Danio rerio: one gene and its partners. The protein of the gene in region 1 interacts with the protein of each later gene in a biochemical or structural test. Links are inferred from orthologs where the notes say so. Each region holds a gene or a part of one and is shown in the gene's direction. Other genes may lie near its edges.

Region 1 (8,322 bases):
ATTCCAAACGGGATCTATCACACTCCAAAGGACACTTGGGAGAGAAAACAATAATGGCAGCCATATTAAATTGCCATTCCAAAATAAAGTGCTCAAAATTGAATGGCACAACCAATGGCCACTTTGGGACCCCATCCTTTGCGCAGGGAAGTTGATTGCTGTCGCACATGGTATTCCTTTTATTCTAGCTCATCCCTATACCAGAATGCAAATCTGAATAAAAATTCCTCTAGAGCAGGAGTGTCCAAACTCGGTCATAGAGGGCCGGTGTCTTCATCCCTATACCAGAATGCCATCAAAGATTTTTGTCTGGAGTGTAAACCCTTGAAAGAGATTAGGGCTTAAGGATCATACCTTCCAAATAGAATACAGTGATTGTTTCTAGTTAAAGGTTCACTGATTTAGATGATTAAATCAGAGTAAAACTCAATTTAACTTAATTTAATGATTAATTGAAATTTCAATTTGATTCAAAATGAGCAATGAATTGGATATCCTTGGGGCTTAAGTGTCTGGAACCGATGATAAAATCATATTTAGGTTACTGTGAGTTGATGGTGAAATAAATCTGCTGTTAAAGGTTGACCTGTTTAAACCCACTATACTTTCTTACTGTAGGAATATGTGGCGACAATTTCGTTCCTACCATAGCAAAAAAAATAGACATAAAACTAATGTTTATATGTTTCCTATTCAATTAACACAGTCAAATAGCCCTGTTTTATCTGTTTTTTTATATTGTTTGATTTTGTAATCTTGAATTTTCTGTAATTATCAGTAGTAGGTAAATAAGCCTTTCAAAATAAACATTCATCACTAAGTACTTAGGCATGTAAGCATGTATCTCAACTTTCTTTCAGATGGTTGGAGAAGATGAGTCTGAGGGTTGAGGCGGTGTGCTTTTACCCCTCCGAGCTTCGAGGTCAGTCTGTAATGGAGTCTGCCATCTATAAGAACTGCTCTATAGAAAATGCTCATTCCTTTAATGAGACCTCCATCCCAACCAAAGCCCATGAACCCAACATACCCAACCCCACACAGCCCACAGAACCATCTTATGCTAAACTGAAACTGGCAAAGACAAAGATAGCTGCGACACCAAAGAAAACCAAATCTAAAGAATTCAAACCAGAGCGAGCTCTGAAAATGACCAGGCCAAACAAGAAAAAAAGAAGACGACCAAAAATGAAGTTGCCAATGATATGAGCAATAGGATTTCTTGATTTAAACGATATAGATATCATACTAAGGGGTAGTAGTGCTGCTGATTTGTTTACGGGTAATCCAGTGCACGAGTCCATATGCCCCCATTTTTTAAAAATGAAAGCGAAAGCGAGGCTGCGGTGGGAAGAAACCCAGAGGAATAGGATCAGCACGTTAAACATGTACTCCACAACATGCTGTGGAGTACAAACCTCTTGCTGTTTCCACGATTTCAAAGTGTAGATGTGGAGTAAACATTCAGTTAAGTTTAATTTAACAAAAAAAAGCACATTAGGCCTCAAACAAAACCACAATCTCTTTTAAAGTTATACGCTTAAGTGTCTTACTAGGCTTCAGTTTATGGAACCAGGTAAACACTGCGGGGACGCTTACCTGCTTCAGCCAATGTAACCCGGTGAGCGATAAAACAATGCAGTCCTCTCTAGCACACCATTGTGTTGTCAGTAATATTGTTGTCCCGGTACTGAAATTTAAAAAACTAACATTTAACATGCTAGCATTTAAGCGCCGTTGAGCACGTTTTTAAACTCCGCTGATCTGCGGTGAAATTACTGTTATCGGCGGTGATTGTCATCAGTTTACCTCTCTTCACAAGTGCAAACACAGATACACGGACACTGGAGCGTTTTAAAGTTCAGTCAAGTCATCAGCAGATCGCTTGTCTGCGTTTGCATTCTGTAAACATTGGTGAAGTGCAGTGAACTGATGACCTTTACGACCAATCACAGTCATTTCTGTTAAGCACTGGTGGAAAGAAAACATTTGCTAACTAGTGCCATTTCCCTTAACTTAGGGGAAAATAAGGTCCGATATGCCTTTTTATTTTCACCATGCATTCAGAAAGGACCTTCGGGTCACTCGGAAAGTGGTGAAATTATAAATTTGTGTTCACTGATAAGATATAAATCCAGGTACACAACAATACGCCATCTTGGATGCCGTTCCTGTGTGACTCCAGGCGTTACTTCCAGGTTTATTTCCACTGCAGACTCTCTTTCGCTTTTAAAATGGAGGCTGTGTGAAGTCTGTAGATCATATTTTTTCTTAAGTAACTATTGTCTTTAAATGCTTTAACTGCTTATGCTGGCTTGCCCACACTAAGAGATAACGATAAATATATACATATTGATGACTATATTGTTAGGATTAAGTAGTCGTACATGTGTGTTTTTTTGTTTAAACAATACAATTATTAGCTAGCTACTATGTGGTAGTAGCTCTGCAGATTTGTTTACAGGTAATTCTTTGGTTGAATCTTTGTTGAATCAAAATTTGTGCAATTTTAATGCATCCACACAACAATAGTGTTTTGGGGCCTCTGAAAATACTTGTGTAACGTTATATGCTTTTGTGTGTGTGTGTGTTTGTGTGTGTGTTAGTATGTATATGTATATGTATATATATATATATATATATATATATATATATATATATATATATATATATATATATATATATATATATATATATATATATTTGTCACGCACTTAACTGTATGATATTACATGTTAAGTCGGTTGAGCATTCCAGTAACGTCACTTTATATGTAAACAAATGTGTAAAATAGTGGAAAAACTACGAATTGTGTATAGTTTACATAAGTCTACATGGTAGCTGTTCGCAAAACTTGTCAAAAAAAAGCAAATATGAATATGTGAAATAAAAAAATATATAGATGGCATTTAATGTTATCTGTAAATCCTGGTAACATGTAATCTCCTGTATCATTTCAAAGCTCTGCACTTGCACTGCACTGATTTGATGTATGTTGAACACGGTCATAATTATATAATATGCAGGATTCCGACAATGTAGTTTATAATAGTGGTAGGGTATTGTAGATGGTACAAATCTGGAAACAGTGGGCCTTAGCTTCCAACAGGTTCCATGGTGTAATGGTTAGCACTCTGGACTCTGAATCCAGCGATCCGAGTTCAAATCTCGGTGGAACCTAATCTTTTAACTCGACTGTAATTTGGACTAGATTGTGTCTGATTAAACTGGAATAAAAAAAAATATATGAATGATATTAAAAACATCATAGTATACACAATTGCTTTAATTCACACGTTTACATGTAAAAGATTATAAACCGAGTAGCTGTTCACTCTCACTCTTTCTCGCGAGATCATCAGACATTAGCAAACATGGCGGCCGCGATGGATGTGGACACCCCAAGTGGAGCTAACAGCGGAGCCAGTAAAAAGCGATTTGAAGTGAAAAAGGTAAGTAATTGTGAAGTTCACGTTAATGATTGCTGTCAACTGTTTGTTCACATCCGTTTAGTCTCTTTAAAATTAAAATAACACTCTTTCACCGCGGTGTGTTAAACCCAGTTAGCATTAGCCGCGCTGCTCTTTCACATCATCATTTTAATCACCGGCCTCTATGCTTTTCATGTTTACAAAAACCTCATAAAGTGTCACAAAAATGAGTACAAGCTAATGTCAAGCAAAAATATGTTACATGCTCGCCCAATGTGCTTCTTATTTGAACTCCGATAAATTCTGCAGCGTAATCCCAGAGATTATTGAAGTAGGCCACTAAAGAACGAAATACAGCGCTGATCATTCCCAGACCTTGGCGAGTTTTTTAGGCAAGATTTGTGGACACTGCAGCCGCTTACAGCACATTCGATTCTAACCGTTTGAGGTTCATAGACGCATTCCGAACGCTCTATTCGATTATCGGTAGACGTCATTTACATGTTCCCAACGTTCGTTTCCATCACTTTTAGTCACCATAGTGACATTCCGAACATTCCATTTAAACACATTTACCCCCCTCAAAGTTCGATGCAAACATTTTAGTGAATTTCACATATTACACACGGAATTGAACATTCTATAAGTGTATACAATGTACAATAAATTATGTTATACTTATTACTTAAGTAAATTTTGACTTGTGTGCATCCTTTTTAAAAGCTAGGTACGGACATGTTTGAATGTTATAGACCAGGGGTGTCAAACTCAATTCCTGGAGGGCCGCAGCCCTGCACAGTTTAGTTCCAACCCTGCTCCAACACACTTACCTGTAGGTTTCAAACAAGCCTGAAGGACTCTATTAGTTTGATCAGGTGTGTTTAATTAGGGTTGGAACTAAACTGTGCAGAGCTGCGGCCCTTTTGGAACTTGACCCTTTTGGAGTTTGACACCTGTGTTATAGACAGATATTATACCTAATGTTACTCCATTTCATTTTCATATTGATTTCAACAATGTCAGCCATTGAAAACACCCTCCAAATGCTTGATTTTTAACAGTTTCTAGTATTGCAAACTTGTTTCAAATATTTGTTTCCAACAGTGTGAGGCGTTGCAAGCTCATTCTCAATGTTCAATTCCAACAGTTTCAGGCATCATAAACCCTTTCTGAATGTATATTTTTTGTGGAATATTGTAGTTGGTTTCCAGATTACCAATTTGTAATCTGGATTCAAAACGATCACCGTGAACGGTTTGAATTTAGATATACTTTTTAAAAAATGTTTTTAAAATAAGTTTTCATACTGTACTCGCATACTGTTTTCACAACTTATTTTCACTATGTTCCTTTACAAATGTTATGGCTGCTGGCTTCTTTTCTTCCTCATTATGATGTATAACTGAGTGGAAGCGCTGCTCATTGGTGGAGGATATTTAGGCTTAGTTTGTGTCTGTACATGTGTCATTAAGAGAAAAGGTGCTGTTAGCATTTTTAATAAAGATTATGATTATAAACTCTGCTTGTCTTGCAGTGGAACGCTGTGGCTCTGTGGGCATGGGACATTGTAGTGGACAACTGTGCCATCTGCAGAAATCACATTATGGACCTCTGTAAGTATAACAGCTGCTTTAGTCTTTTAGGTTTAGTCTAGATCAGGTGTTTTCAGCCCACGACCCCCAAAATAACAATGCCAGTGACTCGCGCCTAGCCGTGGGATGAAAACCGTGTTCAATGTATATCAAGGTTTGGAAAGGTCAAGGTTTTAAAGCCTTCAAAATTTTCTCCTATACCGTTCCTAAGGTATGAGTTCGATCTTTTTTTTACTTTTTATTTTTAGGACAGTAGTATCTCCAGAAAAGATATCCAAAGATGCCATTTTTAAATTGTAAAAATAATCAGATTTTTTTAAAACAAATGAAGACAGCAGAAGTCAATAATTCATTAGAATTATTTAGCCTGACATGTTTACTTCTCCAAAACATTTTATATGTTTCCCAAATTTACATATAGTGTGTACAAAGGGGAAAAGGGTTTTGTTTTGTACCCAGATATTTAAAAAGATTATATTTTAGAGCAGTTATCTCAATACTGTGATACTGTGAAATACTCAATACTGTGAGGTACTCAATACTGTGATACTGTGAAATTTATTTCCGAGGTAATCATACCGTCAGAATCTTATACTGGCCCATGCCTACTCACGACCCCCCAATATTCTCTAAGGTGGTGATGAATATTTAAACCTTGCACACATACCAGTAGGCCCAAATCTATTCATTGTTTAATTTTAGAGATTGCCACTGTGAGAGCTTGCTCCATGTTCTGTTGTAGCCTGTATTATTTTTAATGTATGTGAAAGCTGTAAAGGTGTCAAAGTTTAACCCCCACTGTGGGAACCACTGGTCTAGATGAGCTGTAGCTGATCTGTAACTCTTGTGTTTGCTTCAGGTATTGAGTGTCAGGCCAATCAGGCGTCTGCCACCTCAGAGGAGTGTACGGTGGCCTGGGGAGTCTGCAATGTGAGTATAATCACACACACTTTGAGCTCTGGGTTTGTTTGGTGCTGGTGTAATGCTGGTGTGTTTGTTTTTGTGTGTGTCTGCAGCACGCTTTTCATTTCCACTGCATCTCCCGCTGGCTGAAGACCAGACAAGTGTGTCCACTGGACAACAGAGAGTGGGAGTTTCAGAAGTAAGTCTTTTTGATTCTTCATTCAAATCAAGTCAAATTCACAAGCTTCGTGTAAGGGATAGGTCTCAAACTCAATTCCTGGAGAGCCGCAGCTCTGCACAGTTTTGCTCCAACCCTATTTAAACACAGCTAATCCAACTAATGAAAGTGTTCAAGAGTAGTCTTGAACCTTAATTATATGGATCAGCTGTGTTTGATTATGGTTGGAGCAAATCTGTGGAATCCCTCCAGGAATTGAGTTGGAGACCTATGATGTAAGGGATAAAGTACATCCAGACGGTTATCACAGAATCAAGCCCAACATTCTTTGTGGATTAAAGGCTTTATTCTGTGATGATGCCTGCCTGGTTGTACTTTATTCCACTTATTATACAGCTACTTGGCACAAAACATAAAAAATAGATTTAAAGCATTGTTCTTCCAATCTTCCATTGTAGAGTCAGAAGATTTGAATATGTAATGTAAGTTAATGAGTCAGCTATATTTTAGATGCAGTATTGTACTTTATTTCCTGTACCACAGCAGACAATATTTAAAACAAACTAAACAGTTTAGTTTCATTCCTGAATGAATCTATTTTTGAATGAATCATTTAAGTGATGCAATGATCCATTCATTAGCACAGATTTCTAAACCTATCAGCTGCTTTGTTACACTTGGCTCAAAGATGTAGCATTAGGGGAGACGACACAGTGAAATAAAGTCCAAAATAATATTTATCCTAACACAATTGTAAATAACAAATCAAAACAGCAGTATCTGTATGTTCAATCAGTGTGAAAAGCAAGTGAATGATTGTTGTCAGCGCTAGTGCATGGATGCAAAACAAAACCTAAAGCCCAAATTGGAGTGCAGCTCTGGCCAACTGCCCAAACAGTGAATGAACAGTGGGCCTGATAAACTTTCTCACTGATTTAAAATTTCCTCTGTTTCCCCACACTCAAGTGGTTCTACACTTAAATTAGTTTTTCTTTCTTCTTCTCGATACAAACAAGATAATCTGAAGAATTTAGGGGAAAAAACAAGCATTTACATCTATAGTATGAACAAAAATAAAATAAAAAACACTATGGAAGTCAATGGCTGCTTTCCACCAACATTTATCAGTAAAGCTTCTTTTGTTTTCAGCGGAAAAAAGAAACTCAAACGGGGCTAAAAGTAGAGGATAACACATTTTCATTTTTGCATGAACTATTCCATTAAGACAGGAGCCGTGTCTGAAATTGCTCCATATTCACTAGATGTGGGGTGTACACCATTTGCATTGCTTTCTAATGTCTTAATGAATGGCTAATGAAGTATTTCTCTACATTTATTCAACACTTTTTATCCACAGACAATGGTGATTTTGAGTGTTAATCTGATGTACATCTAAAGCTGTAAATACTTACAACTCAATAAAGCATAGAAAACAATGTCTGATGAAACCAGTACAATGCCAAACAAGCACATCATTATAATTGTAGATTAGATTTTCCTACAGAAAACATGTAGGAAATGATTTGCTCAACAGGCCACTGTATAAAATAGATTTCTGAAAGTGAATGAGGAGGAAAAAGAAAACCTTTCTGCCAGAATGTTTCATTAGAACAATAAAGTGAAAAAGACAAATAATGCTCATGTCCAGGAGGGTTGACAGGAACTGGACTCACCTTCTGCAGACTTTTCAGTATAATGATGGTGTGTTTTATATTTAGTAGAGGGCAGGCTTTTATTTTTTGCTCCTTTTTTTCCTTTCACTCTGATCAAACTAATAGTTGGAGGCGCATGGCTGACGCCTGATTTATGCCAGTTTCACACTGCAAGCGCGAGCAGAGCGTGAGCAGCGCACAGGCGTTTGTCTTTGACACTAGCTGCAGCGTGCAGCGGATCGACATATGCTGCACAGATCGATCTATCTTTTCTTTCCAGTTACTTTTTTTTTTTTTTTTTACTCAATGCCCGCGGCAACTGTCTCCTATGCTGTTTTCTTACCTGCAACTCTTTATTTTTTATAAGTTATGTAGATCCTAAAGAGCTGTTTGCTTCTTAAGCTGTATGAGGAGTGTCATGTCTTTAAGGGGCACTGTTGCACTGTTTAAGGTGGATTGTTTTTAAATGTCAGGATGATGTAGGCCTATACTTATGATAATGTTTATACAATATAGTTATAATCGTAATATTTATACATGATCAAACTAGTGTGCAGCTTAAGCAAAAC
Region 2 (7,623 bases), on another chromosome or scaffold:
AGACAGACTCTGCTGCATCGAAGCAGACGAAGACTGTCAATTCAAAGAAAAGACCGAATGAAGAAACTCCGCAACCTTCCACCAAAAAGCTGAAAGCTAAACAACAACATAAGAGCAAACAAAAAGAAGGTAAGCGAAACTGCGAGTTAAGTTATATAATTGATTGGGTTTAAATGTGCAAAGAAAAAGTTGAACCACTCATTAATGTAATCTTATGAGGTAAACTGTGTTTGTGTACCAGAAACCTATATACAAGCAAGTGTGAAATGGACAGGAGGTCAAAAGAAAGTGGGCCAAACAAGCATTCTTCATTACATTTACAAAAGTTCATTGGGACAGAGTATCCATGCTCAACTGCGCCAGGTAATGACAATTGAAGTTTGGGGAAAGAAGATTAAAGTACACCAGTTACTCGCTAGAATGTTAGATATCGCCACCCATATTAAATAATGATTTAATGTTGTATGAAAATCATACATTTTTAAAGAAGCTTAGTACATGACTGCAGAATTATGCAGCATATGTATTTCAACTATACAGTAAAAAACATAATTTCCCCCTTCTTGTCTTAACTTTGGCATTTGTTCATTTTGGTGACATATTTGCCACAAACTCCTATTTATATCTGAACCTGGTCGTATAAAACATTGTTTCTTGTGTTACAGTGTCTGCAAGAGCCTTTCATACGCTCACTTAAATCTTACAAGCTGCACCGAACTGCCAGTCCCTTTGACAGGAGGGTCACTAGTCTGGAATGGCATCCCACACATCCCACCACCGTTGCAGTGGGATCAAAGGGTGGAGACATCATCCTGTGGGATTATGATGTGCTGAATAAAACCTCTTTCATACAAGGGGTGAGATGAATTGAAAAGTGACGAATGTATTGTTCAAATCTAACCAAGACATTTAGACACTAGACGGTATATATAATTTGTGTAAAGTATACATAACCTTCATTTTTAAGTGTCACATCAGTTTTCAAATTCAATAGACCTGGGGTGCCCAGGCTTGGTCCAGGAGGGCTGGTGTCCTGCAAATTTTAGCTCCAACTTGTCTCAGCAGATCTGCATGGACGTTTCTAGAAAGCTTGGCTGTGTCTATAATTGCCTGCTACTTAGTAGGTACTGCATTTGACTTTAAATGAACTACTCGGCCGTTAGAAAAGTATGTTCTATACACTATGAATGTCACTAATATGAATAAAACTCGGATGTACTACATTCGACATTTTGACCACGTTTACACTGCCAGTTAAATGTGACCCAAATACTGTTCTATGACCGTGTAAACCAGTGGTCACCAAACTTGTTTCTGGAGGGCTGGTGCCCTACAGATTTTAGCTCCAACCGTAATCAAACACACCTGAACAAGCTAATCAAGGTCTTACTAGGTATACTTAAAACATCCAGGCAGGTGTGTTGAGGCAAGTTGAAGCTAAACCCTGCAGGGACACCGGCCCTCCAGGACCGAGATTGGTGACCCCTGGTGTAAATGAATGCATTCAGATATTCGGATATCAGTTTCAGGCCTCCATCATATGTGAAAATAAAACTAACATACTGTAAATCAGATATGTGGCAATGCGACTATCATGTAAAGAAGCAGATTGGATTTATTGCGGCATTTCGTTATGTACGTCATTAAAATTCTGACAATGTTGTACTTCTCTGCGGTTTAATGACATAGAAGGAAGAGCGTGTGTGCTCATCCTAAAATTTCAGACCCGCCACTCCTCATTAAAGCCCGCCACAATTTGCTCCCACCAGACATGAGATCTCTGTCGTAGCCACAGATCCCTCTGAATGGTGGAGGACACCATATATAAACCATAGGCGCAAGCATGTAATGACAGCTCTTTCCCTCCTTCTCTTCCTCCGCCTTAAAATCATATTAAAGTTGGGCGAACTTTGCATATTTCGCTGAGCTGAAAGCAAGACAACTTCTTCCATCATGGCTAGTGTGGCACAGATGCTAGAACCCGCCTTTACGCGTGCCAACAGCGTAAATTGTATGGCAAGTGTAAACATATGAATTGGCTACGGACAGGCAAAAAAATCAGATATCGGCAACAAATCAAAATTGGGCATCAAGACCTGACAGTGTCAGTGTGGCCTTTGTCATCATCATGTGACCTACCTGTGTCAGTTGCGTCGCTTCCATTCATAAATTCTCTTGTGGTGTATCATGGAATATCGTAGCGTCTATCTAAAGCGGTTGTTGCTAGATCGGATATAGTTGCCGCCAGAAGTTAACAAGAATTGTTTATATTATTTATTAAATTTCCCATTTATTGTATTTTATTAAGGTCTACCCCAATCCTAAACCCAACCGTCACAGTACTGTACAGATATTAATTATTGTCACACAGTGTCATAAAAAAGGCTGCTATATTAATGTGCATATCGCACTTCCAGCCGGCGGAAGTAGTAGGTCATCTGGGTACTTCTCGCATACTGTTTATTAAATTCTATGATATCAGACATACTACTTGGCTTGCATACTGTTTTAGTGTACTATATAGTGTGGAAGTATACGATTTCGGACACAATTTTTTGTAAGAGCTTGATTAGCTAGACCTGGTATGTCTGATTGGAATTAAAACTAAACTTTGCAGGACACCGGCCCTTCAGGATCGAGTTTGGGCACCCCTACTATAGACACTGGGGTCTATTCGAAGCTAATTCATTTTAAGTTTATGTTTGTTTCCTTTTCAGATTAATGTACTTAATAGTCTTATGGTTAGTTATATACTCTTTAAGAGTTCTGTTTTTAATTCTGGTAATAATTACTTACACTTATAGTGCTCCGATCCTCTGAGACTTTTGTTCATCTTCAGAACACTAATTTATATTTTAGTTGAAATCCGAGAGCTCTCTAACCTTCCATAGACAGCAACAGTCTCGAGATTTTCTGACTTGATGTGGAAGACATTGGCAAAACATAATAGTTTTGACCTTTTTTTGGTGCACAAAAGAGTTCTCGAAGCTTCATATGTTTACATCACCACTGAAGTTACATGGAGTGTCTTGACAAGGTTTTTGGTCATTTACTTATACTTGAACATCACATGACCATTGATATCCATGCAGAACAAAGGGGATCTCGTATGTTATCTAATATATCATAATTTGTGTTCAGTAGATAGTAGTAATGTTCAGAAAATGAACAAAGGTCTCAGGGTATTGAAACGGCATTAAGGCAACCTAGCCATTTAAACATCTTCAGAAGTAAAAGTAAAGTTCAACATTTTCAGATTAGCACACAAATACAGAAAAACTTTTAAAAAATGCAGTTTTAGTGACTTGAGATTTTCTCCTCTGCTCTTCATCTAGATGGGTCCTGGAGATGCAATAACAGGCATGAAGTTTAACCAGTTCAATACCAATCAGCTGTTCGTCTCCTCTATTTGGGGTGCTACTACCCTTCGGGATTTCAGTGGATCCGTTATACAAGTCTTTGCCAAAACAGATTCATGGGAGTAAGCGAATTCCTGTTATAGCAGTTAAGGCCGTTCTCCCCCTAGTCCAATGGTCTCAAACTCAATTCCTGGAGCGCCGCAGCTCTGCACAGTTTAGCTCCAACCATCACCAACTCACACCTGCTTAATAGTCTCTAGTAGTCTTGAACATCTTAATTAGTTGCGTCAGCTGTGTTTGATTAGGGTCAGAGAAAACTGTGCATAGTGGCAGCCCTCCAGGAATCGAGTTTTAGACTTATGCCCTAGTTAGTTTAAAAAAGATTTGCAGTACCAAAAACTGGCAGTTTTCTTTAATCAAATTCAATAATCTGTTATTTTATCGGGCATTTCTGTTTCTTTAGCTGATTTACAGCATGGGTTGTGCTTTAGTAACACAGCATCTAGTTTAAGAATTACTATTTTGTCGCTGATTGAACACGTTGGACCACATTACACCACAAGAATTGGTACACAGTTTACACTACAAGAGCAATCCAGGATGTGTTTTTATCTACCACTGGATGTGATTGAAAGTGGATTAACCTTAAAATGTTTTATTCCCCGTGTACACTCGTATATCGCAATGGCCACTCAGACTGGCAAAACCCAGCTTAGGCTGTTTTCGTTGGTAGTTTCATTTCAAATATCAAGTGAGTACTATATGTATTTGTGTGTTGTTCTTCTGATTGGTATGAAGTTGGATAAACGCTGTGATAGATCAGAGGACGAAATCATAGCTTTGTTTTTTTGTTTTTGTTTTTTTTTTTGTTTAGCTTTTAGCTATACTGTACATGACAGTGTTCAGTGTCAGTGTCTTGATTTGTCATAATTTTGTTGCTTTTATGTTAAGGTAATGTTTGTTTGTTGAGATAATATGCTCAATATCATTGTTGACCACTAGTAAAATGTATATTTGAAGGTTAACATGAACCTTCTTCTTTATGTTGTTGTGTTGGTTTAGTTGCATTGTCATCATCGTTCAACCCACTGTCATCATTGCCTATTGAGTCCAGCATCGTCACAGCCATTTTGAGTTTGGCACATTTAATGAGCGTGTTTTTGTCTGTTGTGTCCATCCAGAAGGGAGCAGGTGACTTTATTGGGGGTATGAAGTTCTGCCCCAGAGATTCATCTAAAGTCTTTGTGGCTTCCGGTGATGGCACAGTCAGCGTGCAGAGTTTTGAGGGCCTCCAAAGTCAGATATTGTCTCGTACCCCAGACTGTGGCCATGACCACCATGATCTTTGGTGAGGATGATGCTTGTGTGAATGTGTTGTAAATATTTCAGCTGTGTGACATTTGTGGTGGTGTCTACGTATTTCTTGTAGCTGTTCTGAGGGAATAACTGCATGTAGGATAGGTTGGTTTTCTGGACTGAGATTGTTTGCGATGTTTACATCAGAAAAAGTCTCTTTTTTTTGCTACTTTGAAAATATTTTTCTACCTTTTCACCTCAACTGCCATATATTATTAGGTATAAATAGGATTCTATGTAATTATGTGTATACTGTTTTAATGCCACGCATTTCACTCTCCTAGTTACTGGTACTGCTGTGTGGATGTGTCTGTTAGCCGTCAGATGCTTGCTACTGGGGACAGTACTGGAAGACTTCTCCTTCTTGGCCTGGATGGTCATGAGGTAAACAAAAACGAGACGTCCCATTTTGGATTCCACGTCAAATAAAATTTACAAAATTGATTTGTATTTTGTATACACAGAAAGCATACTAAAAGCAAGTGTAGTATATGATAAAAAAATGTCAAAATACCGGTGAAATAATTACATTGGGATTTAGGGTAACATATATATTTAAAAATAAATGTGCAAGAGTAATTGGTGTATCATTCTGCTGTGGCAACTTCTGATAAAAAAAGGGAATATGCCAAAGGAAAGTGAGTGAGTGAGTGAGAATAAAACCGCAGTCACATTCACAGAATTTGTCACGATTTCCTTGACGTAGGGTGTTGCGTCGTGATACAAGATTCAATTGTTTTTTCTCATGTAACGTGGCACAGTTCATTACAACCAATACCATGCCTGCAACACCTCACGACACCATTGCAGAAAGTCTAGCATGTTTCATTTTTTTTCTGCATTCTTCACGGTGTGTTCCGTCACGTGCGTGACACTGTGCAATAGGAGTGCATAATTATATAACATATATATAAATTATAACAGCGAGTGCTGCAGTCAATACGTGTTTTGGCACATATAATAGACTTGTTTCAAAGCACTTCACCTCAAATGTTATTGGTTATTCTTGTTTCTAGATAACTAACCAACAAAACATACATTACATTGAAATTAAGATAAAAATTCTAGCAAATTAAATTTGTTTCAAAAAGATAATTTTTCCATAAAAAATATATACATTATATGTTTGTTTGTGCCCCTCCATTACTCAACTATATGGGTGGAGGATTGGGTTTGCTCTTTGGAAAAAAAGGATTTAATGAATGCTTGTAATAATGTTGTATGACAAACCTCATATATTTGCTAATTTTTAAATTGGTCATTATTTTAAAGATTATTTCTTGAGCATCTGATTTTTCCTTGCAGCTGATGTGCTTTCCTTTTTTCTGTCTCACTCGCAGAAACCTCAGGCGAGGGTGTGTTGTATAAGCAACCCTGGCAGGAAAATATACATTTTAGATTTTAAAGAAAATATCTTCATAGTAAAAATTAATTATAAGATTGATCCTATCCATGTCATAACGAATGCCCTCAAATAATGTAGTTATTAGTTGTCAGCAATCTTCAATGTTTATTGAGATTGAAATAAAAACATTGAAATTGAGATTAAAAGAAAAATAGTTATAGACACACTTGTGACTGCTTTTAGACAAAACGCTCAATGTAGACAACAAGGAATGACTGATCATGAAGGAACATGTAGTCTGGTCACCCACCACAAGTCAAGATTTTATCAAGAAAAATTATCACATAATCTGACATAGTAACTATAATATCCGAAGATAAAAATTGTGTGATCTGACATGGCCTGAAGATGTTATACTAAAATACATTTTGTACAAGGCCTAATAATTTATAGGATGGTGGCAAAATAAAATATTTAAAATGCAAATGAAATTAGTATTTTGATGCTGTAACTTAGTATTTTGGATCCATAAAAGTCTTAATATGTCATCAAATTATTCTATTTTTCTAAATATCCCTGATAAGATTTTTGGTTGTAAAGATAAACTATTGTTACTTTTAATGGCAACATGCACGTTATTTATTAAGATAATTCTTTGTGCTCTTATTTATTTGATTATTTATATTGTTTCATGTTTATGGGGGGACAGGGACATTTTAAGGTTTTTATTACTATTGTGTAGAGCAGTGTTTCCCTACCCTGTTCCTGGAGGCCCACCAACAGTACATATTTTGGATGTCTCCCTTATCTGACCCATTAACCTCAGGTTTTGGAGTCTCTTCTAATGTTCTGATGAGTTGATTCAGGTGTGTTTGATTAGAAAGAGGTTAAAATGGGTACTTTTGGTGTGCCTTAAGGAACAGGGTTGGGAAACACAGCTGTTGAGAGTTGATTTATATTTTTCAATTATTTTAATTTTTTTGCCCAAAAATATATTTAGATTTTCAAAGAGAAGCTGCACAAAGCCAAAGTGACCCATGCCGAATTCAACCCTCGCTGTGATTGGCTGATGGCAACATCCTCTGTTGATGCTACAGTCAAGCTGTGGGACCTCCGGAATATTAAAGACAAAAACAGTTACATCGCTGAGATGCCTCATGAAAAACCAGTCAATGCTGGTAAGGGACCATATTATCAGAAAAGTGAGGAAAGGAGAAAGTCACCTGTACAGTAGCTTTAAATACTAATACATTCAAATGAACTATTTTTGTCAGCATACTTCAACCCGACAGACAGCACCAAGTTGCTTACTACTGATCAGAGGAATGAGATCAGGGTGTACAGTTCATACGACTGGTCTAAACCGGATCAAATAATTATTCATCCTCATCGGCAGTTTCAGCACTTGACTCCCATCAAGGTTAGAAATTTAATGCATTTCTTTCTTTACAGGACTGCTGACATCATGGTTATACTTTGCTCCATTTTTCTATTTTTTCAGGCAACCTGGCATCCCATGTATGACCTCATTGTGGCTGGCCGTTACCCAGATGATCAACTATT
Region 3 (8,095 bases), on another chromosome or scaffold:
GACAATGCCATATATTTGTTCAGCTTTTGACTCAATTTGGAATGAAGCAGACTTGACAATGAGACTGATTCATTTTTTGCATCATAACACCTCGACTATTTTCATAATGTAAATGTAAAATGACTTACGCTTCAGCTTATGTGCTCCAATGTCTCTTCTAATCCATCTTTTCTGTTGTCTGTCTTTCTTCTCTCACTTTCTGTCTTTTTTCTGTGTTCGTTGAGATGTCACAACAGAAATGCATTCCTGTGTGAGTACAGCACGCTGCAGGGTTATCAAGTTAGAATCAAGCCCCGCCCCCTTTCCTCTGGTCACATGCAGATGAACAGTTCCTCCTTGTTGCATTATACACCACAAACCCGTAGATTTTCATCTATGCACTCACATCATGCTTTCTGCTTTGCATCGATCTGTTACCCAGTTTTGCCAGGGTGTTTGGCATTATGTTTCAGGCTAATGTTCTGAACACCAGGACAAAGGTCTTGCAGACAGAGCTGCTGGAAAATCCACACCCGTGAGGGAACTTTCTCAAATGGAAACCTAATCTTGTGTTGTCTGATAAACTCTGTAAAGTTTATGGCTTTTTATGTAGTAGATTGATCATTCCAAGCTATAATCGGGTGTGCTGCAGTACTTCCCACTCTACAGTTTTCAATTTATTTATTTTTCTCATGGTTGCTTTTTAATTTAAATGAGAAACTTGGCGAAACTGTGGTGCTTCCATTATGATGCAAATGTTGCCATTCTTGTGAAATTCTCTGCCGAACCACTTCTCTAAAACAAACAGTCATTCATTGTAGCACACGTAAAATATATTTTACAGTATGTAAAATGGGCGACACGATGGCTTAGTGGTTAGCACTGTCACCTCACAGCAAACTTGCTGGTTTGAGTCCCGACTGGGTCAGTGGGCATTTCTGTGTGGAGTTTGCATGTTCTACCTGTGTTGGCATGGGTTTCCTCCAAGTGCTTCAGTTTCCCTCACAGTCCTAAGGCGTGTACGTGAATTGAAGAAGCTAAATTGGCCGTGGTGTATCTGTGTGAATGGATATTTCCCAGGACTAATTTGCAGCTTGAAGAGCATCCGCAAGTTGGCGGTTCATTCTGCTGATGGATAATGGGACTAAGCTGAAGGAAAATGAATGAATGAATGAATGAATAAATGAACGAACGAACGAATGAATGAATGAATGAATGAATGAATGAATGAATGAATGAATGAATGAATGAATGAATCTACATATACACAATATGTAAAATTTTTACCTAAAACCACTGACCTGTCATCATGTCTTTCGTGTATTTCAAATAATGATTAAATGTTTTGCATGTGTGTTGTTGCATGCACTATAAATTATTATTTGATGTGGGTTGCCATAATAACAAAGTTTATGGATTTTGATTAAATAAACAAGAAGTTAGACACATAATAAACTGAAATTAAATTAGAGTCACTATTCAGAACATAATATCATTTGCAAGCCATTTATATTTAGTTGAAAGTTGTTGTCATTGAAAGTACAGCGGTATTCAACCACAGTAAAGACTAAATAAGACAAAAAAAATCATGTTTAAGGTCTTTATTGTGCAGTTTCTCTGACAAGATGTACACTGCAGGTCAGATATTTGGGGATATTATGATTTGTCAGGGTTTTTGAAAGTCTTTGCTGTTCATTGATAATGTAATTGATGTAAAATGTAAGAAATTGTATTTATTTCTGTAATTCGAAACATTGTCACTCCAGTCTTCTTGAATTATTTTGGTCTTCAATCATTACTACTGGTTCTCATTTTATCAGTTCAGAACTAAATGTTTCTGCTAATTTTAGTGGATATTTTAACTTAAAAAAAAAACACACACACATACACACACACACACACACACACACACACAATTGAACTGAAGTATAATGTTTTGAAACCTAAATATATTTACTGTCACATGTAATTAATTTAATGTATCTGTGAAAATGATTTGAATTGTGCTCTTACTCTTGTACTCTTAATATACGACTGTTTCCATAAAAATAAATGAACATTGATAACAATCAGAAAAAAAATATATTCAGCAGCAAATCAGCCTATCAGATTGATCCCTGAAAGATAATGCAACACTGGAAACAAGTAATAACAGCAGACATTTCTGCATTGACTTTGAATTAGTCAATTGACTTTTGTTTGAAAGTCAAATTGAGAAGTTGTTTTAACTAAAAACTGCATTTCAAAGTTTTTATTTTTATTTTACTTTTGTCCTGATGAGCAAAAGAGACGTCTTTCGAAAAAAAATGTTTTCAAATAAAATGTTTTTATCACGCTAGTAAGAAATACACAACCAAGACGTTAAAGTGTCATGAACGGTTATGAGAGCTGTGTGTAAGTGGATGATTCTCATAAGGATCGCCTCTATCACACATTTTGACTTTTATTATTACGCTGTACTGTCTCCTAGTGGTTGAATGACACTGTACTGTCCTCAACAATCAATTTTCTCTAATAAAAATGGCACTTGCGAAAAGAAAAAGCAATAATAAATGTATGATTACAGATTTTCGCTATAACGAGACAATTGATTAGACTCACCTACAACGTCACTAAAGTGATAACATAATTAATCTCGCAGTCAATGCCATCGCCGTTTGTTAAAAAACAAGCATATTTGTTTCTGACATGCGCGAATCCTCCGCCCATAAGTACCCTGGAGCACACTCTCGCCGCGGCCTCGCGGAGAGCAGAGCGCATGCGCATACCGCATCAGAATGTTGAGCAAAACGGACTAGAACAGAGACGGGAAGACGCGCAAGCAAATTCAAACATATTTTTTCTCCTTGTCGAGGTGAACGTCTGTCGACCTAGAATATAACTTATAAAAACATGACGGAGCCCCAGTCAGCACTGTTACTCAGGAGACAGCTAGCAGGTAATATTTGAAGGCTGTTGGCGAAGGCAGGCTAACAAACCGGTGAACGTTTTAGCCAGCCAGTACACCCGAGACGGAGCATTTTAGCCGTTAGCCGCTAGTTTAGCCGCTAACAAGCGCTGTGTTTATCATACAGCATTAGTTAGCATGTTAGCAGCTAAAATAGCCGGCTAAAGGCAAGCCCCGTCGTCTTTTGTTATTTTAAAATGCTAGTTTTGTACTACTCTTGCTAAAATATCAACATGAGAGTTTTTCTAACATAATTAAAACAACAATACGCGCACGTTTGTTTAGTGTTATTCGGTTTATTCATGTCAACATAAGTGTCAGTCACTTTTTTCCGTATCACACCGGCGGGGCCGCTCTCGATCGGCTACCCCCGTGTTTTGACATCTGTGTCCGGACGCAGTTTCCGCAAGAGAACCAGTCATCTTATAAATGGAGGAAAAGTCTGTCATTGGTCCAATTTCTGCTCACTGTCTTATCGTTGTCCGTCAAACCAATAGTATTATCGCACGGTTTAAAGGTGAGATTTATAAGCCGTATATTGTGTGCCATTACCCCGCATCGGGTTGATCAAATCCCTTTGTTTTTCTAGGCTGGCTAGCAGGCTAAAGCTAACAAATTGATGGCTGCTGTTTGATCACCAGCTCACCGGTACAGCGAGAACTGGAGACCCATAGTCTCTGTCACCATAGACCTGTGCGGGAAATTGGCTCTTATTAGAGTCGTTATGAGTGTTTCCTATTGTTCTATGCCCAGCACACACACACTGAGCAATATGATCCGCGAGTGTCAGCTTTACTGAGCTCAACCAGAGGAGGATTTCTCCACTGGGCCCCATTTGCGCAGTGCAGCCAGTGAAGTGAGTTAGTTATAGGGGTCAAACTAGGCAGATTACCTGAGTTTGGGGGTCTGATGAGATCAATTAAAAAGCAAAACAACAGATCTGCTACATGACAGCTGTCTCTTTGCCACAGACAGCTCAAGCAACCCCATCCCCCCAAATTACTCATCTTACACACACATAAAAGCAACTCGCTTGTTTCTTTCCAAGGGTCGCAGGGTGAGCGGCACCCCGGGCCTGTCATGGCGTCAGGTTCTGCAGAGGCCCTGCGCTTGATTGACTGATTCAGGGGGTCAGGGGCTGTTTTGGTTGTCTCCTTTCAGAAGAACCAGCATGGTGAACTCATCAGCCTTGATCTAAACTCAGTGAACCCTTCGTGAGAACAAAAGCCTCACAACGTTCATTAATGTTGGCCCGTAAAAGATACGGGCCAGGAAAATGCGGGCACAACTTGTGTGATGTTAATGCCATGTGTAGAGAGGTTTTTTTTAGAAATCACTCAAAAATTACCTTTAATTTTTTACCCACCCCAAGCTATTAAACATGTTTTGAGACTTTAAGTTGAAAAAAAATTAAGGTTTTGGGTAAAAACATTGCAGCGTCTACTAGAGCCGTGTGATTAATCGAAATCTAATTGCAGTCACCATTTGAAATGTTGCGATTAGCTAATCACAAGAGGCTGTAATATGAAGATATATTTGTATATTTTTAATTCATTTATTTCCCGTCCAGAGCAAACGCGTGACTGCGTTTTTGTGACAGTCTTACTAGACAAATTAGTGAGCACAATTGAGTGATGAGTGTCTTGCTAAAAAGTCAATTGAAAGTATTGCCAGGGACACTCAATTTAGTAGCAAGCAACAGCATAGTACAACTGCAGAGTTGTTTCAGACATGTTAGTTTGCTGAGTGTTTTTTTTTTATTATTTATTATTATTGTTTGTATAGTACGCTACACTATCTCGCTAACTTAAGTTGAACTTGTTTACAGAAAGTTAAGGTCATTTGATTTACTGTTCTATCTTTGCATACTGTTTCATCTTTTTGTTTACTTTTTGTCCTGGGAGAGAGGTTGGCTTTTCTAGAGAAAAATTTGTGTTTAATTTCTAAATATTTAAAAATAAATTTGATTAAGTAAGTTAATATCTTTTCTGTTTCTTTTTTTTTTTTTAAATAACGCTCACTGCATTTTTCCTGAAAATTTAATACAACTACCAAATGGTTTAGTTGAACCCTGTTCACTAGCATTAGATGAAGAGTTGTTTCCTTTTCCCCAAAACCTTGGCTGAAGAAAGTCAGTCATACACTGGTTGAATGGACTGCAGGATAGTAAATAAATTATGTATTTTTTTGCCTTCAGATAATGTTCTGTTATTAAAAGCACTACTGTTATGTCACTTTATGCGCATGCTTTTGTAACTTGTGGGTTTTCTTTGCCTGTCAAGCTTTTTAACATACATTGACAGGAAATTCTCTGAAAGTGATTCCAATGATATTGTATATCTGTGGTGTTATTGTTAAATCTGCTGTGTGGACATCTCTCTTCTAATTGAATTTGAAGGGTTGGTAAACCTTTCTAGTAGTGGCTGTCATCCATTCTTGGTTTGAACAGCCCTTTATGCTATTTGTGTGATTGTTGCTTAGGGCTGGTCGATATGGCAAAACTGCAATCTTGATAATTATTTTGCATATTGAATGATAACGATGTATATTGCGATACCAGTTGTTAATGCTTCCAGATTTAAAAGAGTATTCCAGCAATGACTGAAGCCACAAAAATTAGAGGGTCTATTAAATGGCATAGCATATTTTCAGCCGATACTTTTTCAGTGGCAGAAAATTTTGGGACATCTCTAACATCAACACACTTTTAGATTCTCGTTGTTGCACATTTCTGTTGTGTGATTGGCTCTTAGATCAATATAGAGTAAAAAGTCCAAAGCTTATCATTGTTATTGACACAAACTTCATCGCAATTTGATATAATACAGTTTATTGGCCCAGCCCTAGTGTTGCTATAATAACACTTCAGCACTCTTATATTGGAAGTAGGTTTGTTGAAAATACAATTGAGTCATTTAATAACCATCAGATAGTGGTAAAAAGGTGGCTTTGACAGAAGAGACTCTTCATATGAATGCCAGACTGTCTTAGTGATTCATGTGCAAAAATGACACATCCATATGACTGGATAACCCAACTGTCATCTTGTTTATGACTACAAGGTGGTCATGCAGTCAACCTCCAGATATTCTGTTGTGCTCCTTCTTGCAAACACACAGAAGTTCAGAGTATCTGAACAAACAGACAGGCGTTCTGTGACTAAAGAGTCGCTCAGCTGATCTGATAACAGACAGGCAAATTGGTCATTTCTTGTCTGAAATGTTGCCCAGATGTAGGTCTAACTATCAGAACTCATGTGAAGGCATGTATGCACCTACTGCCCTGAAATGCCCCAATTTGCCCTTTGAGTAGTTCCATGCAATTGTCAACCAAAGTTTTCACCAAAATAGCCAAAAGTATGATCACATTCATAAACCTCATGTTTATTTTCCTCATTTAAAATATGTTTACAGATTGATATTTTCTGAGCCCATGACACTGTGGTTGGTTGTTTTGTAAAATATAAACCGATGTTTCAATATAATATTAACTCATACTTTCTCTGTGAATTTGTTTTACGTTTTTACTGCAAATGTCACATCTATAACACTTTTCTGTACAAAGTGGCTAATTTGTACCTTGATGTCTCTTCCTGACAGAACTGAATAAAAATCCTGTGGAAGGTTTCTCAGCCGGTTTGATAGATGATAATGACCTCTACAGATGGGAAGTACTAATAATTGGTCCTCCTGATACACTCTAGTAAGTCTTTTTGTTGTTTTATAAAATGTTATGTTGTGTGACACCTCACCAAAATTAAATTATTATCAATCAGCTAAAGAATTAGATGATGCAAAATGTAAATTGACATTATTTACTTGTGTAGAGCTACAGTATAGGTATTCTCACAATCTAAGATGGGTCAGGTCAAGTTTATTTCTTGATCTTATACAATCTACAATGCGCCAAAGCTTTATTACATGGTAATACACAGTGTATCAGGCAGGTAGCAGTGCAGTTGTAGTATTAAGTCATGATGCAATGGGAAATTAACTGAATAAGTTTATGTATTTGTTGTGATGCCATACTGAATCAATTTAAGCTGTTGCCTTTCATTTAAAGGTTGTTCAATCACAGTATTATAAGCCTTTTATATTTTTCTGTTTACAGTGAGGGTGGTGTCTTTAAAGCCCATCTTACATTTCCCAAAGACTATCCTCTCAGGCCTCCTAAAATGAAGTTCATTACAGAAATATGGCATCCAAATGGTAAGTTTGCCTCCTAGGGTCTTTTAAATATTTAATATATTTTAATTATTTATACTTTTTTACTATTTTGTCAGCCATACATTTAATATCGTTGAATAAATACACAATTTTTTGTGTTTTTTTTTTTTTAGTTGGTTGGAGGGATGGGTTGCAGATTTCCAAAAAAAATCAAATATGAATTGTTCTTATAAATCCTTTTGAATCTCTGGCTGATATGGAAACTGTTTCGAATTTACACTGACAGACTTCGTTATAAATTCATCCGCATGCAGGTTTTTGTTTGTTGATTCCATTTGCAGCATTGTGGATATTTTTGATCCACTTAGGAAATATCTAATAATCTGCCAAACCTAAATACTGACATGCTCTTTATTAGGCTAATAATGACATGAGTTTTTTTTTTTTTTTGTCATTTTGTACAACATTTTAAGTTCTATATGTTTCTGAAACATTTACATTTTATTATTTGCTAGCTATTATAGTCATGTAATAATCCTTCAGCCACAATACTTATCTTTATATAATATTACTATGTTAATTAAATGATCATCATCAGCAAACAAAAATGGTTAATGTGGTATATAATCCACATTAAAATCTCATGTCCTGTCTCTGTATTGTTCTGCACAGTTGACAAGAATGGTGATGTTTGTATTTCGATATTGCACGAACCCGGGGAGGATAAATATGGCTATGAGAAACCAGAAGAGCGCTGGCTCCCCATCCATACTGTAGAGACCATCATGATTAGCGTCATCTCTATGCTAGCAGACCCCAATGGAGACTCCCCTGCCAATGTTGATGCAGCAGTAAGTATAACGTTAACTTGTAAAACCAGATATGATTGCATGTTGGCAGAAGATCTTTACTTCATGTGTTAATTCATTTTTATCTGTTCAACATTTCAGAAAGAGTGGAGGGAAGACAGACATGGTGAATTCAAAAGAAAAGTTGCCCGCTG
Region 4 (7,623 bases), on another chromosome or scaffold:
TATATATATATATATATATATATATATATATATATATATATATATATATATAGAGAGAGAGAGAGAGAGAGAGAGAGAGAGAGAGAGAGAGAGAGAGAGAGAGAGAGAGAGAGAGAGAGAGAGAGAGAATAATGTTTCTATAGGGGGTTTGTCAAGCCCACTCACCTGTGTTAAGCACACTTGGAAAATGCACATGGGTTTTTTAAGAGATATGGAGTGATTGTTTAAAAAAAAAACTGCAACTGTCAGTTAAAGTGTCAGAGAAATTAAAGATTGTGTTTTTTTACTGGTGGTTTGTCAAGCCCACTTACCCGTGTGAAGCACATTATGCAAAATACGTTCATTTATATTGCATTGAACTACAACAAATCATATTCTGCTTTTTACAGCCTCCCAAAGTGAAGTGCTTGACTAGAATATGGCACCCGAACATTGCAGAAACGGGCGAGATTTGTCTGAGGTGTGTATATCTATGATAGCCATGTCTTCAGATGTGTTTATGCAACAGACTCTACATTGTCCTTTTTACTGCTGTGTTTATGTTGTTGTTAAAATCTCTCCACAGTTTATTGCGAGAGCATTCAATTGATGGTACTGGATGGGCACCCACTCGTACTCTAAAGGTCTTTTTTTTTTTATGTCTTCTTGGGGAATTTATTTGTATGTTTGTTTTCTTTCTTTCTTTCTTTCTTTCTTTCTTTCTTTCTTTCTTTCAATAACTAAACATTTGGGTTTTAATAAGGAAGTATGATTCTGACACAGACGATCTCCATAAACTGGCATTTTTAAAATGTCATTTTACTGAGTGTTCTTTTGCGCTGGCACTCCAGGTCTGGTTTAGAACTTCCATGAATAAATAAGGCACTAATATCACCCCTAGGTGGAAGCAAGTCTGTTTTAATGAGGGATCGTTGTCATTCTTTCAAATGATCCATTTTGAACTGAAGCAACAGACTCTTATTGAGTGGATCATTGGACCATCAACTTAGGGTGCTTTCACACCTACACTTTTGTTTCGGAACGTATCTCGTTTGCCCAGTTAGCGCGGTTCGTTTGGCATATGTGAACAGGGCAATCGCGCTCTGTTCCGCGCCAAAGTAATCGCTCCGAAATCGCTTGAATGAGGTGGTCTCGGCTCGATTGAAACGAACCCTGGAGCGGTTCGATTGCAGTGAGAAAGCGATCCGATCCGAGCGCGGTTATATCACTCTGTTTTATGGATATGTAATAGGCATATACGGCTATATATGAAGAGAGAATTATGAGTAGGGCGGGAAGTTTCGCGAGTCTCCGGATGCCCGCAAACAAGTGATGATCTCCCGGTAATCTTGCGTCTCCCTCCCGGTCCCCAAATAGGCATCGTCGCGCACCCTTCTCACCCCTCCCCACCGCGTCTCTCTTCAGACACGTCGCGCGCACCCTGTCAATGACCACCAAACCACCACCTCTCCTGACAGCTGAGAGGGATGCTGCAAAATAAACCCTGACACTCTGACCAATGTAAGGAGAGTTTACTCGCACGTGACTTGTTTTAGCTCTTTTGGTCCGATTAGAAACTTTGCAGTGTGAAAGCGAACCGCTCCAAGAGCAAAGGGCAAGAACAACTGAATCGATTCACAAGTGTGAAAGCACCCTTAATCAAAACCATATTAATTTGCTCTAGAAGTTTTCTGCTTTAGCTTTGTTTGGAATTATTTTTGTTGCCAAAACAAAAACTAAAAATTGTCTTAAATGTGAGTTACTCGGTCCCACTTTATATTAAGTGTCCCTAACTACTATGTACTTACATTAAAAAATAAATATAAAGTACTTACTGTGTTTATAATGTATTTGAGAGCACTTGTGGTGCTTTTGAGTTGGGATAGAGGTTGGGTTATGGACAGGTTTGGGGGCATGGGTAGGTTTAAGGGTGGGTTAAGGTGTAAGGTATGGTTAACAGTGTATTTACAAATGTAATTACAAAAGTTAATTACAGATGTAATTACAGACATGTATTTAATCAAGCATAAGTACACAGTAAACACATGTATTTACACAATAAGTACATTGTAACAAATTATTATATCCTATGTAAGTACATATTAGTTAAGGCCACTTAATATAAAGTGGGACCAGTTACTCAATATGAATTCATGTTTGTTAAACTTGTGTCACTGTAGCTATGTTTCGATCCAAAAATGTGAATGAACTTTATGCGCAAAACTGGATTATCGCATAAAAGACGTGCGAATAAAGCAGTTTTTCCATCCAACAAGTCAAAGCGAACAAAATCCTCACTTCCTGATTAACTGGTGCCAAATATCAACAGTAAAAACACAATTTGCTTAGGAGAAGCTGCGTCAATCTTCATCGAATAAATGACTTGCGCCTCAGAAGGCAATCCTGACACACAGTGAACACACGGTGGCGTTTGACATTATCAGATGCAGAGCACAGATGCTCTTGACTCTGGAGGTCAATAATAATAACAGAATACTATATTAACAGTAAGGGGGTTTAGAATGACCAAATCAACATTTCAGATGGTTTGTCCATTTACACACATTTGCATCATCACATGATCTCTTATCACAAAATCACCTGACCTTTTTTAATGCACACACTGAAATTTGTTTCCATTGTAGTTTATGCGCATCTTTTCTTATCGAATAAAACGTTTATCCTACTCAGTTGTGCTCATAAGTTTTTTATGCACATTTTCAAAATGTATGCGAATCATGGGGTTTCCATTAACCAAGAAAAAAATCAACTGTTAGTAAAAAAAAGTCATGGATTTTGTGTTAAATCTGGATGGAGTATTGAGAGTATGACTAGAGCTGTTTTTTGTGTCTGTAGGATGTAGTATGGGGACTGAATTCACTCTTCACTGTAAGTACAGATTTTAGATAATAATGTTTATGTCATCATTCTGTGTAAAAAAAAAAAACAAGCAATAGAAGTTTCAATTTCTCTCACAGGATCTTCTTAACTTTGATGACCCACTGAATATAGATGCAGCAGAGCATCATTTACGAGATAAGGTAAAACACCAACACATATTAAAACATGCTTCCTTTAAAAGCATAACTGCTATGAAAAAAACTAAATAATGCGGATATTGCATATACATTAAAAATTATTCAACTCCTGAATTTCTTTTTCAAATATTTTACAAATTATGTTGAACAGAGCAAGGATTTTTTTCACAGTATGTCCTATAATATGTTTCTTCTGTAAAATATTATTTCAGCTGGAATAAAAGTAAATGTAAAAACATTTTGAGGGCCAATAATATTAGCTTACTGAATACAAACCCAACAGATCACTCAGATCTTTAGGATCATATAAACTAGAAATTCCAAAAGTCAAAGCAGTCAAAGCAGGGTGAATCTGCCTGCAGCCACTATGCCCCTCGCTGCTGGAATCAGCTTCCAGAAATGATCAGATGTGCACCAACATTAGGCATGTTCAAATCAAGACTGAAAACACATCTGTTTAGCTGTGCCTTTACTAAATGAGCACTGTGCTTCATCTGAAAGATCATACTATTACGTCTTTCTTTTTTCTCATTCCTTTTTAACCTGTTTTAACATATTTCAATCTGTTTTTATCTGTTTTCAATCACTTTTATTCTTTGTTGTTTTTGTTTTTGTATTCTTGTTTCTTTTCAAGAGTTCACACTTAGATATTGCTTTACTGTATGAGCACTGTGCTACGTCCGACAGATAGCACAATTATGTTTTTCGTTTTCTTTTTCATTCTTTTATAGCCTATTTTAACACATTTTAAATTGTTTTTATCTGTTTTTAATCATTTTTATTGTCTGCATTTTATGTCCTAAACTTGTCTTTTTTATTCCTGTTTATGTAAAGCACTTTGAATTGCCACTGTGTATGAAATGTGCTATATAAATAAACTTGCCTTGCCTTGAGCAATATTTTTTTTTTTAGATTGTCTACATTACAAACCAACATTATACAATGATTTGCCTAATTACCCTAGCCTGCCTAATTAACATAGTTAAGCCTTTAAATGTCACATTAAGCTGAATACTAGTATTTTTAAAAATATCTAGTCAAATATGATGTACTGTCATCATCGCAAAGATAAAATAAACCAGTTATTAGAAATAAGTTATTAAAACTATCATGTTTAGAAATGTGTTGAAAAAAAATCTTAAAGAGAAATTAGGGAAAAATATATTTAGGGGGACTAATAATTCTGACTTCAACTGTATGTATTATACATAATCATACCTCCCATCTCTTTTTAATCAGATACACATGTACAGAAAATTCTTTAATGCTTTCTGTTTTAGGAGGATTTCAGGAACAAAGTTCAGGACTTCATCAAAAACTATGCAAGATGATGTGTGTCTGCCACGCGAGCCACTCTCACATGCATGTGACCGATGTACGTCGATCAAGACTGCAACCGAGGCAAAATCTCATTATTAAAACATTCTTCGGGGAGGGGGGGGAAGAAGCAAGTTAAAATAAGTGTTGAATGACACTGCGAGTCACTTCTCAAGATATTTGGGAAGGATCAGGGCCGTACTGTCTATTTTTGATGGCTTATTATTATTATTTTGGTGTTATTTTTGAAAGATCTTCTCAAACAACTTTGCTTTTACTCCCCCACGAAAAAGAAAAGTAAAAAAAAAAAAAAAAACGTACAAAGATGGTGATCATGAAAACAAGGCCGCGCAGCCTCTCTGATGTCACCTCCTATATTCTATAGTGCCTCTGTGTTTTTGCCACATATAACTGGACATCATGAGCCAACTTTTGCAGCCTGCTTCCTCTTAAAACTTGACAAACACTGAGATTAATTTGTTCATAAGTGATGTCATAGAAATCCCAAAGCTCCATTGGTTCATTTGTTTGTTTGCTGTGGGGGAGGAGTCCACCAATGAGGAATCAGAAAAAAGAAGAAGAAAAAAAAAAAAACATACAGCACTGATGTCAAGCAGAAAATATCGGTGGTTTTTCGGACGGATTCTGTAAAGCCATTTCTTGAAACTCGGCACGTTCCGTCATGTAAAGTCACCGCCGTTATCAGACTACTCTATCACATGTGCACACATGCAAATATCACAATATCTGTGGGTGCCTCTGAGTTACCAAACTGTTTTAGTTCAGTTCTAATCTGTGAGAAGTTTGTGGGTGATTCTCATGAACGTTCAGCTTCCATTTTCACCTCGAAATCGAAGAGGAAAATCAAATAAATATATTTTCCTTTAAATTAAAATTTGTTTTCGTTTAAATGAGAAACCAAGCATGCTTTCCCCCAAATTCAACTATAATAAATATATATATATTTTTCTCTGCATTAGAGCAATGCAAATTTTGGGGAAAATTATGCTTAATTGTTAACATTCTTATCACCGCATATTACTTTAGATTTTGGGGTGAAATATTACCTGGATGTGTTCTGAACTGGCTTCATGAGATTCACCTTTTGCTCTTGTATGCATTTTTTGTCAGTGTATACACGTTCAGCTTTACCGATGTGTGCATGTTCACGAGATTACTTGTATGCTAGTATTGTGTTTGTGTGACAGTGAGAGTATGTGTGTGTGTGTGTGTGGGTGTTTGAGCGGGAGTGACTGGAGATTTTAAAACATGTCTGATCTGGTAGCATGCACTGGGCTACTGAACCGCTCAGCCATAAAGCCTGTTCAATTAGTGAGGATTTATTTTATTTAATTTGACTTTTTTTCTCCTTGGAGGTGTATATCCATTTGTAAAATATATTAAAGAGGAGTTCTACCACTAAAAGGAGATTTGGAGTAATTTGTGTGTACACTTTTACAGCTTGCGTTTATAATTTGTTTTCATAAGCCACATGTCAAATTCGGTTTCTGGAGGGCCGCAGCTTTTCACATGCAAGGTCCCAATTCACATACTTATATTAACCTACTACCCAAAAGTGTGTACTTGTTTTGTAAAGGAAAAGTATATACTTTTGAGTGTGTAACAGAGGAGTATGCAAGCTACTTTGTTGTTATGTTGCTTAGTTATCATCTCGACGCATCATCCACATTTCTTAGATATTTAATACCTTCCGTATTGGAGAAACAGCAGCAGGATAATCCGCCATTTATGGGTCTTCATGCAGGGAAATCTCATGTTTTTTAGGTAATGATATGCATTGAGAAGTTAATGTCCAAACATATCTTGATATAAGTTCACATTGTTGTTGTAGATTAAATATAACTAGGAAAACGCGATTTAAACATGTTGCAGTTGGCTAAATATTAATTAATAGTCATTTTTAAACAACTTTACTGAAGCCTCTACTTGATGGTTGGTCTCGCGCGTCCGCCATGTTGGTAGTTTGTTTACACTTTTTTACCCCCCGTTTGTAGTTTTGTGGGCAATATTAGAGTGTAGGCGCGTGTACACCTTAAGAGATTTTACCGAAAATAGTAAACCATCCAGAAACCTTTATACCCTTTTCAACATACTATAGTTTTGGACATACTAATTCTAGTTTCTAATACTATTTAGGATGGATAGACTGCGAATTTGGACGCACCAACGCAGCTACAGTTCCAACCCTAATTAATCACACCTGTTCAAACTAATTAAGTCATATAGGCTCGTTTGAAACCTACAGGTACGTGTTGAAGGAGTGTTGGAACTAAACTGTGCAGGGCAGCTGTTTGACCCCCCTGTCAGAATATTTACGTGTATTTATCAATGGCTTTGTCTCAAATGGAGTGAGTTGCATTTAATTTGTTCTCATAAGCTTTAAGCGTATTTTATCAATGGTTTTGTCTCAAAAATTGAGTGAGTTTACTACCTAGACCGCATTTTCAAGCATTAATGTGAGTTTGTCTATAATGACAAAACTGGTTTGCTAACACTGTGATTGGAAATGTATATGTAGACCTTCGTCCATTAGCACTGGCAGTGTCTCGATTTAGCGAGCTTCCTAAAAAACACATTTTTTGTGCACTAAAAAAGCTAATTTGCAAATGATGCACAAAAGTGTTAGGCAGCTCATATGCCTATGTTGGCAAGTAAATATCACATAGTGACTAATTAAAACAGGGGTGCCCAAACTTTTCCTTATGAAAGGCCAAAATCCAAACTTCAGTGATGGCTGTGGGCAGAAGGTAAATATAGCACACTGTAATAGAGTTGCCATGAGTAATTTACTACTTTATTTTTTCTAATATTTAAAAACAAACTAGAAAACATTGCTTTATATAAACTAATGCAGTATAATTAAAAATAATAATAATAATTTATATATATATATGTGTGTGTGTGTGTGTGTGTGTGTGTGTGTGTGTAATTTATTACAGTCGACAATTCTTACACAATACACAAGTCCAGCTTTTGCATTGATTTTTCTTGTGATGTTTTTTGAGTTGTCCTCTATCTGTCGAGAGACTGTTTCTTTAAAGAAAAAAATCTGATTCATTTTCAACATTTAATTGAAACGTTTAAGTTTGCTTTTTTTGTACCTCAACCCAACAGTAAAACAAACAAGCCAAAAAGGTTATGTTGAATTCGAAATGATGATCTCTGATAAAGGCATTCTCCCCATCATTCTCTTTTTCTTCTCGGTTGGAATGTTCCAAATAAAACTTTTACCTGTGGGCCCTAGTTTGGACATCTCTTAATTAAAGCT

The links.
Region 2: the proteins of rbx1 (region 1) and ddb2 form a complex in vitro, tested with the Homo sapiens proteins (2 studies listed by BioGRID, with this or other methods). The link is inferred for Danio rerio from reciprocal best matches to the Homo sapiens genes RBX1 and DDB2.
Region 3: the proteins of rbx1 (region 1) and ube2g1a form a complex in vitro, tested with the Homo sapiens proteins (8 studies listed by BioGRID). The link is inferred for Danio rerio from reciprocal best matches to the Homo sapiens genes RBX1 and UBE2G1.
Region 4: the proteins of rbx1 (region 1) and ube2f form a complex in vitro, tested with the Homo sapiens proteins (2 studies listed by BioGRID). The link is inferred for Danio rerio from reciprocal best matches to the Homo sapiens genes RBX1 and UBE2F.

Annotation. Positions count from the first base shown.
Region 1 is NC_133178.1:23,846,367-23,854,688, reverse strand, and holds the start of rbx1 (E3 ubiquitin-protein ligase RBX1), read left to right. Parts: upstream 1-3,336; 5' UTR 3,337-3,371; coding exon 3,372-3,449; intron 3,450-4,962; coding exon 4,963-5,041; intron 5,042-5,879; coding exon 5,880-5,950; intron 5,951-6,036; coding exon 6,037-6,122; intron 6,123-8,322. Other genes in the region: chadla (chondroadherin-like protein), read left to right, coding at 861-1,206. UniProt on the Homo sapiens protein: E3 ubiquitin ligase component of multiple cullin-RING-based E3 ubiquitin-protein ligase (CRLs) complexes which mediate the ubiquitination and subsequent proteasomal degradation of target proteins, including proteins involved in cell cycle progression, signal transduction, transcription and transcription-coupled nucleotide excision repair.
Region 2 is NC_133193.1:21,857,078-21,864,700, forward strand, and holds part of ddb2 (DNA damage-binding protein 2), read left to right. Parts: coding exon 1-129; intron 130-241; coding exon 242-363; intron 364-665; coding exon 666-857; intron 858-3,335; exon of another isoform or gene 3,336-3,475; coding exon of another isoform or gene 3,476-3,481; intron 3,482-4,540; coding exon 4,541-4,707; intron 4,708-4,999; coding exon 5,000-5,099; intron 5,100-7,060; coding exon 7,061-7,238; intron 7,239-7,334; coding exon of another isoform or gene 7,335-7,352; coding exon 7,353-7,480; intron 7,481-7,561; coding exon 7,562-7,623.
Region 3 is NC_133180.1:31,601,910-31,610,004, forward strand, and holds the start of ube2g1a (ubiquitin-conjugating enzyme E2 G1a), read left to right. Parts: upstream 1-2,753; 5' UTR 2,754-2,871; coding exon 2,872-2,917; exon of another isoform or gene 2,918-3,443; intron 3,444-3,515; exon of another isoform or gene 3,516-6,525; coding exon 6,526-6,628; intron 6,629-7,036; coding exon 7,037-7,134; intron 7,135-7,764; coding exon 7,765-7,943; intron 7,944-8,042; coding exon 8,043-8,095. UniProt on the Homo sapiens protein: Accepts ubiquitin from the E1 complex and catalyzes its covalent attachment to other proteins. In vitro catalyzes 'Lys-48'-, as well as 'Lys-63'-linked polyubiquitination. May be involved in degradation of muscle-specific proteins.
Region 4 is NC_133176.1:8,067,914-8,075,536, forward strand, and holds the end of ube2f (NEDD8-conjugating enzyme UBE2F), read left to right. Parts: intron 1-389; coding exon 390-460; intron 461-565; coding exon 566-623; intron 624-2,835; coding exon 2,836-2,868; intron 2,869-2,957; coding exon 2,958-3,020; intron 3,021-4,297; coding exon 4,298-4,348; 3' UTR 4,349-5,757; downstream 5,758-7,623. UniProt on the Homo sapiens protein: Accepts the ubiquitin-like protein NEDD8 from the UBA3-NAE1 E1 complex and catalyzes its covalent attachment to other proteins. Together with the E3 ubiquitin ligase RNF7/RBX2, specifically neddylates cullin-5 (CUL5).